Saccharomyces cerevisiae S288C: one gene and its partners. The gene in region 1 interacts genetically with each later gene. Each region holds a gene or a part of one and is shown in the gene's direction. Other genes may lie near its edges.

The links.
Region 2: mutations in EMA35 (region 1) and YJR154W together harm fitness more than expected from each alone (negative genetic interaction), as found in Saccharomyces cerevisiae (one large-scale study listed by BioGRID).
Region 3: mutations in EMA35 (region 1) and IGO2 together harm fitness more than expected from each alone (negative genetic interaction), as found in Saccharomyces cerevisiae (one large-scale study listed by BioGRID).
Region 4: mutations in EMA35 (region 1) and YBR287W together harm fitness more than expected from each alone (negative genetic interaction), as found in Saccharomyces cerevisiae (one large-scale study listed by BioGRID).

What each region holds. Positions count from the first base shown.
Region 1 is NC_001135.5:300,739-304,199, reverse strand, and holds EMA35 (Ema35p), read left to right. Parts: upstream 1-1,978; coding exon 1,979-2,929; downstream 2,930-3,461. Other genes in the region: YCR101C (uncharacterized protein), read left to right, coding at 1,170-1,718; YCR099C (uncharacterized protein), read left to right, coding at 2,901-3,368.
Region 2 is NC_001142.9:724,151-727,358, forward strand, and holds YJR154W (uncharacterized protein), read left to right. Parts: upstream 1-1,633; coding exon 1,634-2,674; downstream 2,675-3,208.
Region 3 is NC_001140.6:368,346-370,949, forward strand, and holds IGO2 (phosphatase regulator), read left to right. Parts: upstream 1-1,708; coding exon 1,709-2,104; downstream 2,105-2,604. Other genes in the region: ECM14 (putative metallocarboxypeptidase), read right to left, coding at 157-1,449; NSG1 (Nsg1p), read right to left, coding at 2,377-2,604. UniProt on the Saccharomyces cerevisiae protein: Required for TORC1 to properly control gene expression and chronological life span. Plays an essential role in initiation of the G0 program by preventing the degradation of specific nutrient-regulated mRNAs via the 5'-3' mRNA decay pathway.
Region 4 is NC_001134.8:775,013-778,379, forward strand, and holds YBR287W (uncharacterized protein), read left to right. Parts: upstream 1-1,558; coding exon 1,559-2,842; downstream 2,843-3,367. Other genes in the region: APE3 (aminopeptidase Y), read left to right, coding at 1-1,301; APM3 (Apm3p), read right to left, coding at 3,000-3,367.

The sequences.
Region 1 (3,461 bases):
GCGTCACCCTTCCATGATTATATATCCTTACTATCTACTATCCAACTACTACATATCTATTGAACTCATATGTACCAAGCACATAAAATTATGCACCTATTTCCATTGGCAAAGACTTGGCGAAATTTAATACACTGTAATAATATCCGGCGAAGCTCTTTAAGAATTCTTACCTATAATAGCGGCTCGCTGTCCGAACGATTGCGCCGCACTTTTCTGCCTCTTACATTCCCTTTTCCTAAGGCGATAAGCAGGCTGAATGGAAACTACGATATAACGCAGTAGAGGTCCCCCAAGAGCTGGAAAGAAAATATTGGTTTGATAGCCAGCACTATTCTATCCAGTGGGCTCTTGTACCATTTTCTGTGGTATGGCTTTGATTCAACTGCATACGTAGTTAACGCGATCAGCCGCACATGGGCATTATCATTTTCAGGGGTACTGGTAAACCCTATTGTTTAGAAAGAATACCTGGTAAGCGGGTCTGTCGAGTCTTTCCCACTAATTTTGAAGAAAAAATCTTTACCTAGTTTGAGAATAATCGTGGCGTTCGTAACATCACGAGGTGAGAGAGACCAGTTAGGTAAGGGTATGCCAATAAAAGGTTATTGATACTTCAACGAATCTTCATATTAAAAGTGCCTTCACCAGAATAAAATTCTAACGTCATCCTAAAAAGCATCAATTGGACATAGTGAGGGAAAGTTTTCACCATTTAAAATCTATTCTGCAGAATACCATTCTAGACTATGATCCCTTAAAGATTCCCATTCTTTAAATATACAAATCAGGTTCAACAGCGTATCTTTATGGTATTATCGTACTACTGGCGACATTAGCAAATCCAAGTATCCTAACTAGGTTTCTAGTCTTATCTCTTGGTTTTCTCCATTAGATGGTAAACACGTTACCTTGATGGCTGTACAGGAAGTGAACATGGTCAACTCAAAGTCACCGGACTCAAAATAATTGCAATTACCTAGACTGGATATTTTTAGAATATTATGAGAATATTTTTAGAATACTTGCAACCCAAAATATATTTAAATGCCGCCAATTTGCAACCAAAAGATTATCCGCTACCTTTTTTTTAGTCATTGAATTGTAGCATAAAGTTCCGAGCTTTGAAAAAAAACTTTGAACTAAGAAAAGGTAAGAGATCCTCAATTATGATATTACTTCATGCCATATATACTCTTTGGGTAATTATACTACTTCCGCTACTCAATGCAGAGAAATTTGTCCCAAAAGTAACGGAGGCTCCTATAGAAACATCATTTAATCTAGTGAGTTTTGATGATTCCAACACTTCTATCAGATTAGATGGTTGGGGGGTTGTATGGATAAGTTTCGACGCTGGAGAAAATTGGGAAACGGTCAAAGAAATTGAAGAGCGCATTTTCAGATTTACTGTTGATCCTTTCCATGGACAGGAAAGAGGTTTCGCTTTTATATGTGAATCACCCAAATTCTACATTACCGACGACCGTGGGGAGTCATGGAGGGCTTTAACTATACCCTCATCAGAAGAATATTTAGATGGCGACTGTTTTATAACTACTCATCCTAGAAACAAAGAACTTCTTATTGCGAATTGCTATAGCTATATGATAGACGCAGACGTTTTATATGACCCAAGTGAAATTTACTTGAGCAATGATGGGAATCCTTTTTTAAAATTAAACCTTCCTTGGAAAAGAAAAAAGACGACGATATAACAACTTAAAGCTGTCATTTCATTAAGTCTAGCAAGGATTCTGACTTTACTGGTAATGATACTTCGATACTCTGTTTGTTCTCTAACCGTGAATACGATGAAGAATATCGCTTAACTGCTACCTACACACAGTTGGCTTTCAGTAGTGATGGAGGCAAAACGTTTAAAGATTTTGATGAATTTAAAGATAAGATTGTTACTCAATACAAGATATTGAAGTCATATGTGGTCGTTTTAACGCAAGATGACGGGCATAACGAGATGTCATCTACGGACATCTGGATATCCAATGATGCATCTACTTTTCAAAAGGCACAGCTGCCTACTCAATTACGGCACGTCAAAGTGATTAAAATTCGTGAAGATTCTATCGGAAGGATCATCCTTCTTATATCGACAGAAATCACAAATGAGGAAAATGCTGATCCAGATCTCTCAGAGATTTTCATATCAGATTCGCAAGGGTTGAAATTCTCACCTGTTGAATGGACACCAAACCATCAGTTTGGAAATTTTAGGCTCACTTTTCCTGATTTCTTGAAAGGGACAATATTTGGATCGTTTCATCCTTCCATTGACTATTCTAATCACCAAGTAAACTATACTGAAAATATAGCCGGAGGAGAAACCAAAATATCCGTTGATAACGGCCTCACATGGTCAAATTTGAAAGTTGTTGATGAAGAAAATGCCGATTCGTTCGGCTGTGATATCACTAGGCCTGAGAGATGTTCACTTCAGGGTTATTTTTACAATCTAAAACTTTCAAATCCTTCTGCTGGGATCATATTAATGACAGGTTCTGTTGGCGATGACAATGAATTCGATCGGAAGGACCGAAAAACTTTCATTTCTAGAGACGGTGGTCTAACATGGAGGGTGGCCCATAATTCTTCTGGATTATATGCTACTGGTGATCTGGGAAATATTATTGTATATATCCCGTCTCCTTCATATAAAGATGGTGATGTACAATCCAAACTTTATTTTTCCTTGGACCAAGGTAGAACATGGAATCAATATGAGCTTGTTGACGCTTTATTTTATATCCATCCATTAGAGTTGATTAATACAACGCCAGATGGATCAGGCTCAAAATTTATTTTAAGCGGACATCTCATTACTACGGCTAGTCAAGAAGGAAACAACACCAACATCTCATATATTGCAAGAAGTGTCCTGTATGCGATCGATTTTTCTGCTGCATTTTGACTATAAAACGTGTGAAGAGGAAGATTTCGAAGACTGGAATTTGGCAGATGGGAAATGCCTTAATGGCGCCAAATACATGTATAAAAGGAGGAAACAGGACGCCCGTTGTTTGGTAAAAAGGACATTCAAAGATATGATTTTGCATGAAATACCTTGTGACAGTTGTACTGAATCCGACTACGAATGCTCTTCTGAATTTGTTAGAGATGCAAAGGGTGACTGTATACCAGATTATGATCAGATTGCCCTTTCCGATATATGTGACAAAGCTAATGGCGAAACTGTATCATTAGAGCCATTACAATTAATTAAAGGAGATAAATGCAAAAAGCCCATGGAAATTGAGGCCATGAACATTCCATGTGAAAAAATCCTGAGGGAGAGCTCGAATGGTAAGAAAATAGCAACCATTGAAAACAAGTTTGACTTTGAAATTTAATTTTATCAATATTTCGATACAGTTTTGGGTGAATCTTTTATCATGCTTAAGTCAATAGAAGATGCCTACATACCTCACGATATGATGAATAAA
Region 2 (3,208 bases), on another chromosome or scaffold:
GAAGAAAATCTCTGTTCAAGACTATAGTTTATGTTTCATTCTGGACCCTTGGGATCGTCTGAAACAGGAAGGTCAATAATTGGTAAAAAAAATGGTAAATGCGACTAAGTACTACAATTGAAACGAATGAGCGCACTTCATCTGCCTACAAAACGCTGCGGCTGAAAAAGTTACATAAAAAACCGTCCTCAATAGCGTTAATCCAGCGTACATGAGAAAGTAATGACAAAGTCTTCGGTAATATCAGTGCATCTACCAATATGACACAATTGTGAAACTTCGCTGACTCAAATAATAGCCCTGTTTTTTTGACCATTGTTACCCATCGAGCCAGTGAGAAAAAAGCCAAAATATCTTTAAGGCCTTCTCCATTTTATGTTTATCGATATTGTGTTGTCTGCAATATTGAAATTTTAAAGGCTATTTACTTTGCCTCTTGTTATAAACTAAGTCTGCCGAATTATGCAATATATAGCAAAAGCTGAAAATAGATGTAATTACATAATTCGCAGTTGTATATGAGTATCCTTAACTCGTACATTCCAGTTCATCTGTGACAAGGCACTGTTTTCCCTAATAATTATTAGGGAAACGTCCTTCAAAAATCAAAATAATTTTAGAGAGTCTCATCAACCTTCGCCATAGTTCGTGATGAAAACTTTACGGTACGTCAGACTTTAGATATTGATTTTTTTATTATTTCTCCCATCGTGAGTACAATTACCCTAGTTCGAACTATATCTTTCATTACTGGCGGAAAAAAAATTCAACGAATGTTCTTGGCTCAATATAGCTTAGTATTTATGTTTAAAGAATTTGTAATATGCGTTACTAGTAATTCCTTTGAATTTTTGAATGCTTTAACTGTGAGTTGGCGTACATGCAGAAACGGCCGTTTAAAATTTTACCGATTGCAGTGACAGAAAAGCTAGTTGAATATTTGTTTACATAAGCGATTCAGATAGACCCCTAATAATATCAAGCTAGATATGCCTGTTGGAAACTTCTCAAAACCTGCGCTAGACGTCCCACGCAATCAACTTACAGATATGTCAGTGCTAGGGAAAAGCCATAGAATGTTGAAAAAAGCGAAAAGGGTTTACTAACTTAGGCAGGTTGAAAAGCTTCTCGAAAAATAATACCTTTTGGTAAAACAACGTAAAGAAGTACTGCCATAACGTAGAATTCTGCAGTTATGAACATACTACAGGCGAAATTGCTAAAATTAATGAGGATAGTCAAAATTGGGTTATGAATCAAAGTTTTTTATAGATTTTCAGCACCGGTGTGGCTAGTAGTCGTCCATACATGACTCAAAGAAAAAAAAAATAAGTGACATAACGCGAAGTGAGGCATTATTGGGCTGCTAAAGAATTTTACGTTGGAAAAGAGGCAAGATTGTCTCATTTTCCTTCAAAATGAAGGTACTGCTGCCCCGGAGTAATAGTAATTTATTCTCAACAGAAATAGAATATTTAATTAATCAGAGTCTAACATTAAGGTCATGTGTTGATAGCAGGTGACGCGTCTGTAAAACTAATAAAGTATATAAAGCACATCCATGAGATCTTAAGACGAGAGATTTCCCCTACTCAAAGTACAAGCAGGACAGATTCAAAACGCAATCCATACGATGAACACAGATTCACACAACCTTAGTGAGCCATACAATATAGGTGGCCAAAAATACATTAATATGAAAAAAAAGGAAGATCTTGGCGTATGCCAGCCTGGCTTAACGCAAAAGGCATTCACAGTCGAAGACAAGTTCGATTACAAAGCAATTATTGAAAAAATGGAAGTATACGGACTTTGCGTGGTCAAGAATTTTATAGAGACCTCCAGATGTGATGAAATATTGAAAGAAATCGAACCGCATTTTTATAGATACGAATCATGGCAAGGCTCACCGTTTCCTAAGGAAACTACTGTGGCAACGAGATCGGTTTTACACTCATCTACAGTCTTAAAGGATGTGGTATGCGACCGTATGTTTTGTGATATCTCAAAACATTTTTTGAATGAAGAAAACTACTTTGCGGCGGGAAAGGTGATTAATAAATGCACTAGTGATATTCAACTGAACTCCGGTATAGTCTACAAGGTTGGCGCTGGTGCAAGTGACCAGGGCTACCACCGAGAAGATATTGTTCATCATACGACCCATCAAGCATGTGAACGTTTCCAGTATGGAACCGAAACCATGGTAGGGTTAGGTGTAGCTTTTACAGATATGAATAAAGAAAATGGCTCTACGCGAATGATAGTCGGTTCACATTTGTGGGGTCCGCACGATTCCTGTGGGAACTTTGACAAGAGGATGGAATTTCACGTTAATGTTGCAAAGGGAGACGCAGTTCTATTCTTAGGGAGCCTCTACCATGCAGCCAGTGCAAATCGTACGTCACAAGACAGAGTTGCTGGATATTTTTTTATGACAAAGAGCTACTTGAAACCAGAGGAAAATCTTCACTTAGGGACTGATTTGCGAGTGTTTAAGGGTTTACCATTGGAAGCCTTGCAACTGTTGGGGCTCGGAATTAGTGAGCCATTTTGTGGTCACATAGATTATAAGAGTCCAGGACATCTTATCAGTTCTAGTTTGTTTGAAAATGATATCGAAAAGGGGTACTATGGAGAGACAATAAGGGTGAATTATGGGTCCACGCAATAATCATTGTAACGGGAAAACATATCACCACAAGTTCGCTGTAAATGTGCAGACTGGGTGGCATGCTTCAAAAGCCTATTCTAGTACTTCCCTGCTGTTTTCGCACGGAACCGGTAAGAAAACTTCGTACCGAAATCGAACAACTTTCATTACTTGCACTTGTACAAATTTAAGGGAGCGGGATTTTAAAACATATAAAAGGATAGTGGCACAACTAGGAATAAGGTGTATTACCCAATATGATTCTCACCTTCGGTTGGGGACTGGTTAATTAATTGAATAGCTTCATAACCCACCGCCGCAAAATGTGCTCTTCGAAATGTCTGAGGCTTTTGGACCTGCACCTGAACCACCTACCGAGTTAGGACGTCTTAGGGTCCTATCTAAAACAGCTGGTATAAGAGTTTCTCCACTAATCCTGGGAGGTATGTCTATTGGTGACGCCTGGTCTGGATTCATGGGATCAATGGACAAAGAACAAGCTTTTGAGCTACTTGATGCTTTTTACCAAGCAGGCGGAAATTTCATTGATACTGC
Region 3 (2,604 bases), on another chromosome or scaffold:
GGTTCTGCTCATGTTAGGGGGTGTATGAGCAGATAATCCAAGTTAAAATAATTTTTTGGAGAATATAGAAGAAAATATATAAGGTTTTGCTTTTTCTAGATTTTATATAGGATAGGGTATTACTAACTTGTAATATAATGTATACCGTGGTATCCATTATATCTCTGGGTCTAGTAGGAAGTCACAAAAGTACTTTAAAGCAGCATAAGTTTCCTTTCCAACTGGCTTGATGTTTTCTGGAGGCAATAAAAATCCATGGTTCCCTGTATCCCGTAATTTCAACTGGAATGCCCAATGTGCTCTGTGGTGGTACATGAAGTCCAACGCAGAACCTGCACCGAGGCCGGGGAATATGTCGGAACCACGGTCCTTACATGCGGAGATTACGTCGTAGTTTCTACCTGATTTTGAACGGATGGCCTTGGATAAGCCATATGATAACTCCAACAAATTTTCTAAGTCTCTGGGCAAGGCATCACACGAGTATGCGTAGGGATATAAAATCTCCTGTGAATACGAATGCATGTCAATGTAGCCATAAATTTTGTAATCGCCCTTGGTTTCATTAATATACTTGTACCAAGCAGATGCTTCCCAAGCTTCGAAGGGCGTTTCCCCACTATACTCTTCGCTGCAAGCGTGGGTGTGTGCCTTTTCCCACTGGAAACCAAAGGAATGATCAATGTCGATACCAAGACATTGAGGAACATGAGTCCTTTGACGATTCTTACGCCATAGTCTGTCATGCGACCACGTATATGCGTATCCGTCTGGATTGAACACAGGTATGACTAAAAAGTCCAAATCGTCCAGGTATTTGGTTTCCTTCTTAGACGAACCATATCGATTTAACAACTGATAAAGTGCCCAACAGACGGTACTGACACTGATCCACTCTCTGGCATGTATACCACCTGTGATAACAATAGTCTTCTTTTCCGGGTTTGATTCTGGCTTGTTTCCGGATATATGCAGAGCTTTTAGCTCTCTGCCTTCAAATGTCCTGCCCAAGTGTTCCACTGCAACCAAACTGGGAAAGCTTCTTTCTAGAAGATCCAACCACATATAAATAGTATCCAGGTCCCTGTATTCGTTAAAGAAGAAATCGTAATCATTTTCAAAAACAGCCTGCTCACGTGCCATCATCTGACTTGTAGGCAATGTATTTTGTATCAATTCATTCATGTTATCTATGATCACCTGCCCATCATTTATCTGCTCACCTATTTCTTTAGGCAACTTAATATCAATGAAATTATTGCTTCTCGTCCATACATCATAATCATCTGTCAGCGGTGCGATCACATCTCTTACCAGGGTAGAATAGTTGTCTGAAGTAAACCTGTAAACAGCGTATTCACTGTAATCCTCTTGGAGACCCTGCACAGCACCTGTCACGGCTAGTAAAACGAAAAGAAAACAACCCCACAACGAATTCATGTGCAACATGATATAACTTAACACTCTGGTTTGTTTATATAGTGTTAACTTGGTCTTTTAAACCGTCGAAAATATTTTATCCTTCCTTCCATTTAGTTGGAACCATTTTCTAGTTCTTCGTAAAATCCGCAGTCAGCGCAGGAGAAAATAGAACGAGACAAATGATCTTTTAAATTACAGGTTATCGCGGGAGAATATTGGGGTTCAGAAATACAACACATATAAACAAAAATACGTACCAAAGAAGTGTTATAAAAGTGATATAACTATGTCAGAGGATCTTTCACCTACAAGCAGCAGGGTGGATTTGAGCAATCCTCATGGGTTTACCAAAGAGGGAGTGGATTTATCGAAGCTGTCACCACAAGAACTAAAATTGTATAAAATGTATGGGAAGCTTCCATCCAAAAAAGATCTGTTAAGACATAAGATGCAGGATCGTCAATATTTTGACAGCGGAGATTATGCATTGAAAAAGGCCGGAGTCATTAAGTCGGATGACGTTATCGTGAATAATTCTAGTAATAATCTACCAGTGACCAATCCTAGCGGTTTAAGAGAGTCTATTATTAGAAGACGTATGAGTAGTAGTAGTGGTGGCGATTCTATCTCGAGACAAGGAAGTATCTCAAGTGGACCTCCACCAAGATCTCCAAATAAATGACTAATGAAGGAATGATATTATGTGGTATTACTTTTTTTTTATCATCACTAGCTTCGGCTAAGCCCTTGCATTTTCAATATTCAATTACCAAATAATATATATATATATATATATATATGTATGTATGGTATACCTTGTGTTACTGATGTGTTTTTTGTTGACGTCATCCTTTTGATTTACTCACATGCTTAGTAAATGAAGGTTGTTGAGGCCTAAAAATCAGCTAAGATTTACACATCGATACTAATCATTGAACGCCCCTATGGGAACACTTAATTGAATAAATATCTGCCCAACTTGCTGAACATCAAAAACCCAAAAAAATAGAAATCTATAAAATACAACGCCAGTGACAACTGCGAGAAACATTGTGAGCAAGTGAACGCACTAAGGGCACCAATTACTAGACCTGGGAAAAAAACGGTTAAAGTGCCATCAAAGAACAACCACAGAACAATGTTTAATAAGCTCCATGCACCAGCTGCCTGCAAAGAGGAGGA
Region 4 (3,367 bases), on another chromosome or scaffold:
CTACCCGTGTGATCGGGTCCAAGGGTCATAACAAGACTATGGAATACATATTGAATGTTTTCGATGACATGCAGGACTACTATGATGTTTCTTTGCAAGAGTTCGAAGCTTTATCCGGTAAGATCATCTCTTTCAACCTCTCTGACGCCGAAACCGGTAAAAGCTTTGCTAACACTACAGCTTTCGCACTTTCTCCACCTGTGGACGGGTTCGTAGGTAAGCTAGTCGAAATTCCTAACTTGGGATGTGAAGAGAAGGATTACGCCTCTGTAGTCCCACCAAGACACAACGAAAAGCAAATTGCCCTTATCGAAAGAGGTAAGTGTCCTTTTGGCGATAAGAGTAATTTGGCCGGTAAGTTCGGTTTCACCGCTGTGGTCATTTACGACAACGAACCTAAATCTAAAGAAGGACTACACGGTACATTAGGCGAACCTACCAAGCACACTGTCGCCACCGTCGGTGTTCCATATAAAGTTGGTAAAAAATTGATTGCCAATATTGCATTGAACATCGATTATTCATTATATTTTGCCATGGACTCTTATGTAGAATTTATCAAGACCCAGAACATCATTGCCGACACAAAACACGGTGATCCTGATAATATTGTTGCCCTTGGTGCTCATTCAGACTCTGTTGAGGAGGGCCCAGGTATCAACGACGATGGTTCCGGTACTATTTCCCTATTGAACGTCGCTAAGCAATTGACCCATTTCAAGATCAATAACAAGGTCCGTTTTGCATGGTGGGCTGCTGAAGAAGAAGGTTTGCTAGGCTCTAACTTCTACGCTTATAACTTGACCAAAGAAGAAAACTCCAAGATCAGAGTATTTATGGACTATGACATGATGGCTTCTCCAAACTATGAATACGAAATTTATGATGCGAACAACAAGGAGAACCCTAAGGGGTCTGAAGAGTTGAAAAACCTGTACGTAGACTACTACAAGGCTCATCACTTGAACTACACTTTGGTCCCATTTGACGGTAGATCCGATTATGTCGGGTTTATCAACAACGGAATTCCAGCCGGTGGTATTGCCACTGGTGCCGAAAAGAATAACGTCAACAACGGAAAGGTCTTAGACAGATGCTACCATCAATTATGTGATGATGTCTCTAACTTATCCTGGGACGCATTCATTACCAACACCAAGTTGATTGCTCACTCTGTGGCCACCTATGCTGACTCTTTCGAGGGTTTCCCAAAAAGAGAAACCCAAAAGCACAAAGAGGTGGACATATTGAATGCTCAACAACCACAATTTAAGTACAGGGCCGACTTCTTGATTATTTAAGTGTACTGTTCACATCAAGTATTTCTGTATAATTATCTAAAAGAAAATAAAAACCCTCTTTTTTTTAACTGCACGTGCATCAAGGGGATCACAGCCTCCTTATCAAAGTGAAAAAAAGGTAGAAAAAAAAACTGAAATTGTGATATAAAAGTTTAAACAGGAAATTATTGTAAATTGAACAATATGTGTGAAGCCCGTTTTTGGTTTGTTATTCCCAACTAACCATACCCTCATAGATTACTCTGCATTTCTACTATATGGTTGAAACATTTAGTTTTGCTCATTTGGCTTATTTGGTCTTTGAGTCCGTTTTACAGGTAGTCATTATCGCACTCGCTGGTTTTTGGAGCGCTAGTTCTGGTCTGCTGCCCAAACAAAGTCAAAAAATCATTTCTCTGTTGAACGTGGACCTTTTTACACCATGTCTTATTTTTAGTAAGTTGGCCAAATCCCTGTCCATGGCCAAAATCTTTGAAATAGCCATCATTCCTATTTTTTTTGGTTTGACTACTGGTATTTCATTTATTTCCGGAAAGATAATGAGCCGTATCCTAGACTTGGATAAAGATGAAACTAATTTTGTGGTGGCAAACTCTGTCTTTGGTAACAGTAACTCTCTACCTGTGTCCTTGACATTATCTTTGGCTTACACTCTGCCCAACTTAACTTGGGACCAAATTCCTAATGATAACAGAGATAACGTTGCATCAAGGGGTATTTTATACTTGCTGATCTTTCAACAAATCGGACAAATGCTGAGGTGGAGCTGGGGTTACAATAAGCTAATGAAGTGGTCTGGAGAGAACACTCAGCATATGCCACCTTCTCAAGTGCAATCTTTGTTGGAAAGGACGCCCAACATTGATAACGAGGAACTTGTCAATGAGGAACAAGAGGAACAAGAATTGCTTGAAGAAGAAAATAACAGAATGAACTCATCTTTTTTGAGTTCGAGTTCCATCGGTGATAAGATTTGGCAAAAATCATGCACTGTATTTGAGAGAATCAGAGCGAACCTTAATCCTCCGTTATATTCCATGATTTTTGCTGTTGTTGTGGCAGCAATTGGTCCGTTGCAGAGAGAGCTATTTATGGAAGATGGGTTTATCAATAACACATTTGCCGAGGCTGTTACGCAGCTGGGTTCAGTTTCTATCCCACTGATCCTGGTTGTCCTCGGTTCTAACTTATATCCTTCTGCGGAAGTCTTCCCTAAGACGGTTCACCATAGCAAGTTATTGATCGGCTCCATCATCGGAAGAATGATTTTACCTTCTTGCTTCCTTTTGCCTATTATTGCTATTGCTGTTAAGTACATAAACGTGAGTATTTTGGACGATCCAATTTTCCTTGTTGTCGGTTTTCTTTTGACTGTTTCCCCTCCTGCCATTCAATTAACTCAAATCACTCAACTGAATGAATTTTTCGAGGCAGAAATGGCCGATATTCTATTTTGGGGGTACGCTGTCTTAAGTTTGCCTGTAAGTATTATTGTTGTCTCAGGTGCAATTTACGTTTTACAGTGGGCTAACCCAACTTAATACAACTTTTCATTCCTTTGTATAGAGTCTTCATGAATGAAAGTCTTATTCATTTTTTTTTTTTTTTAGCATAGTTTTATATTCCTTTTTTATTCCAAGACTTATATTCTCATTATATTCTATTTAGTTTCGCATGGAATTTCAAGTACACATATAACTACAGCCTTACTTGAAAATTGCCTGTCTGGGTCTTATACTTTGCACCCTTGTACAGCTTTGTATTTTTGCCAATTGTTAATCCAGATACAATATCGATGGCTTCTACATAGATTCCACTGGCCGATTGTCCTATGTAAGAATATTCTAAGGAGACTGTTTGTAAATCAACTTTTTTTGTAAAATTTGGCCCAGTATTTTCATACTCAATACAGCCACGTAGTACAGGTACCGTTCCAGTGGCAGTTGATTTATCAAAAATCCATTGTCCTTGACCCATGATAATGCTATTTTCAAAACGGCCATGAGTATTGCGCAATATTTTTATCTTATATGCTATTTCATTTGGATCAGCATTCTCAACATTGA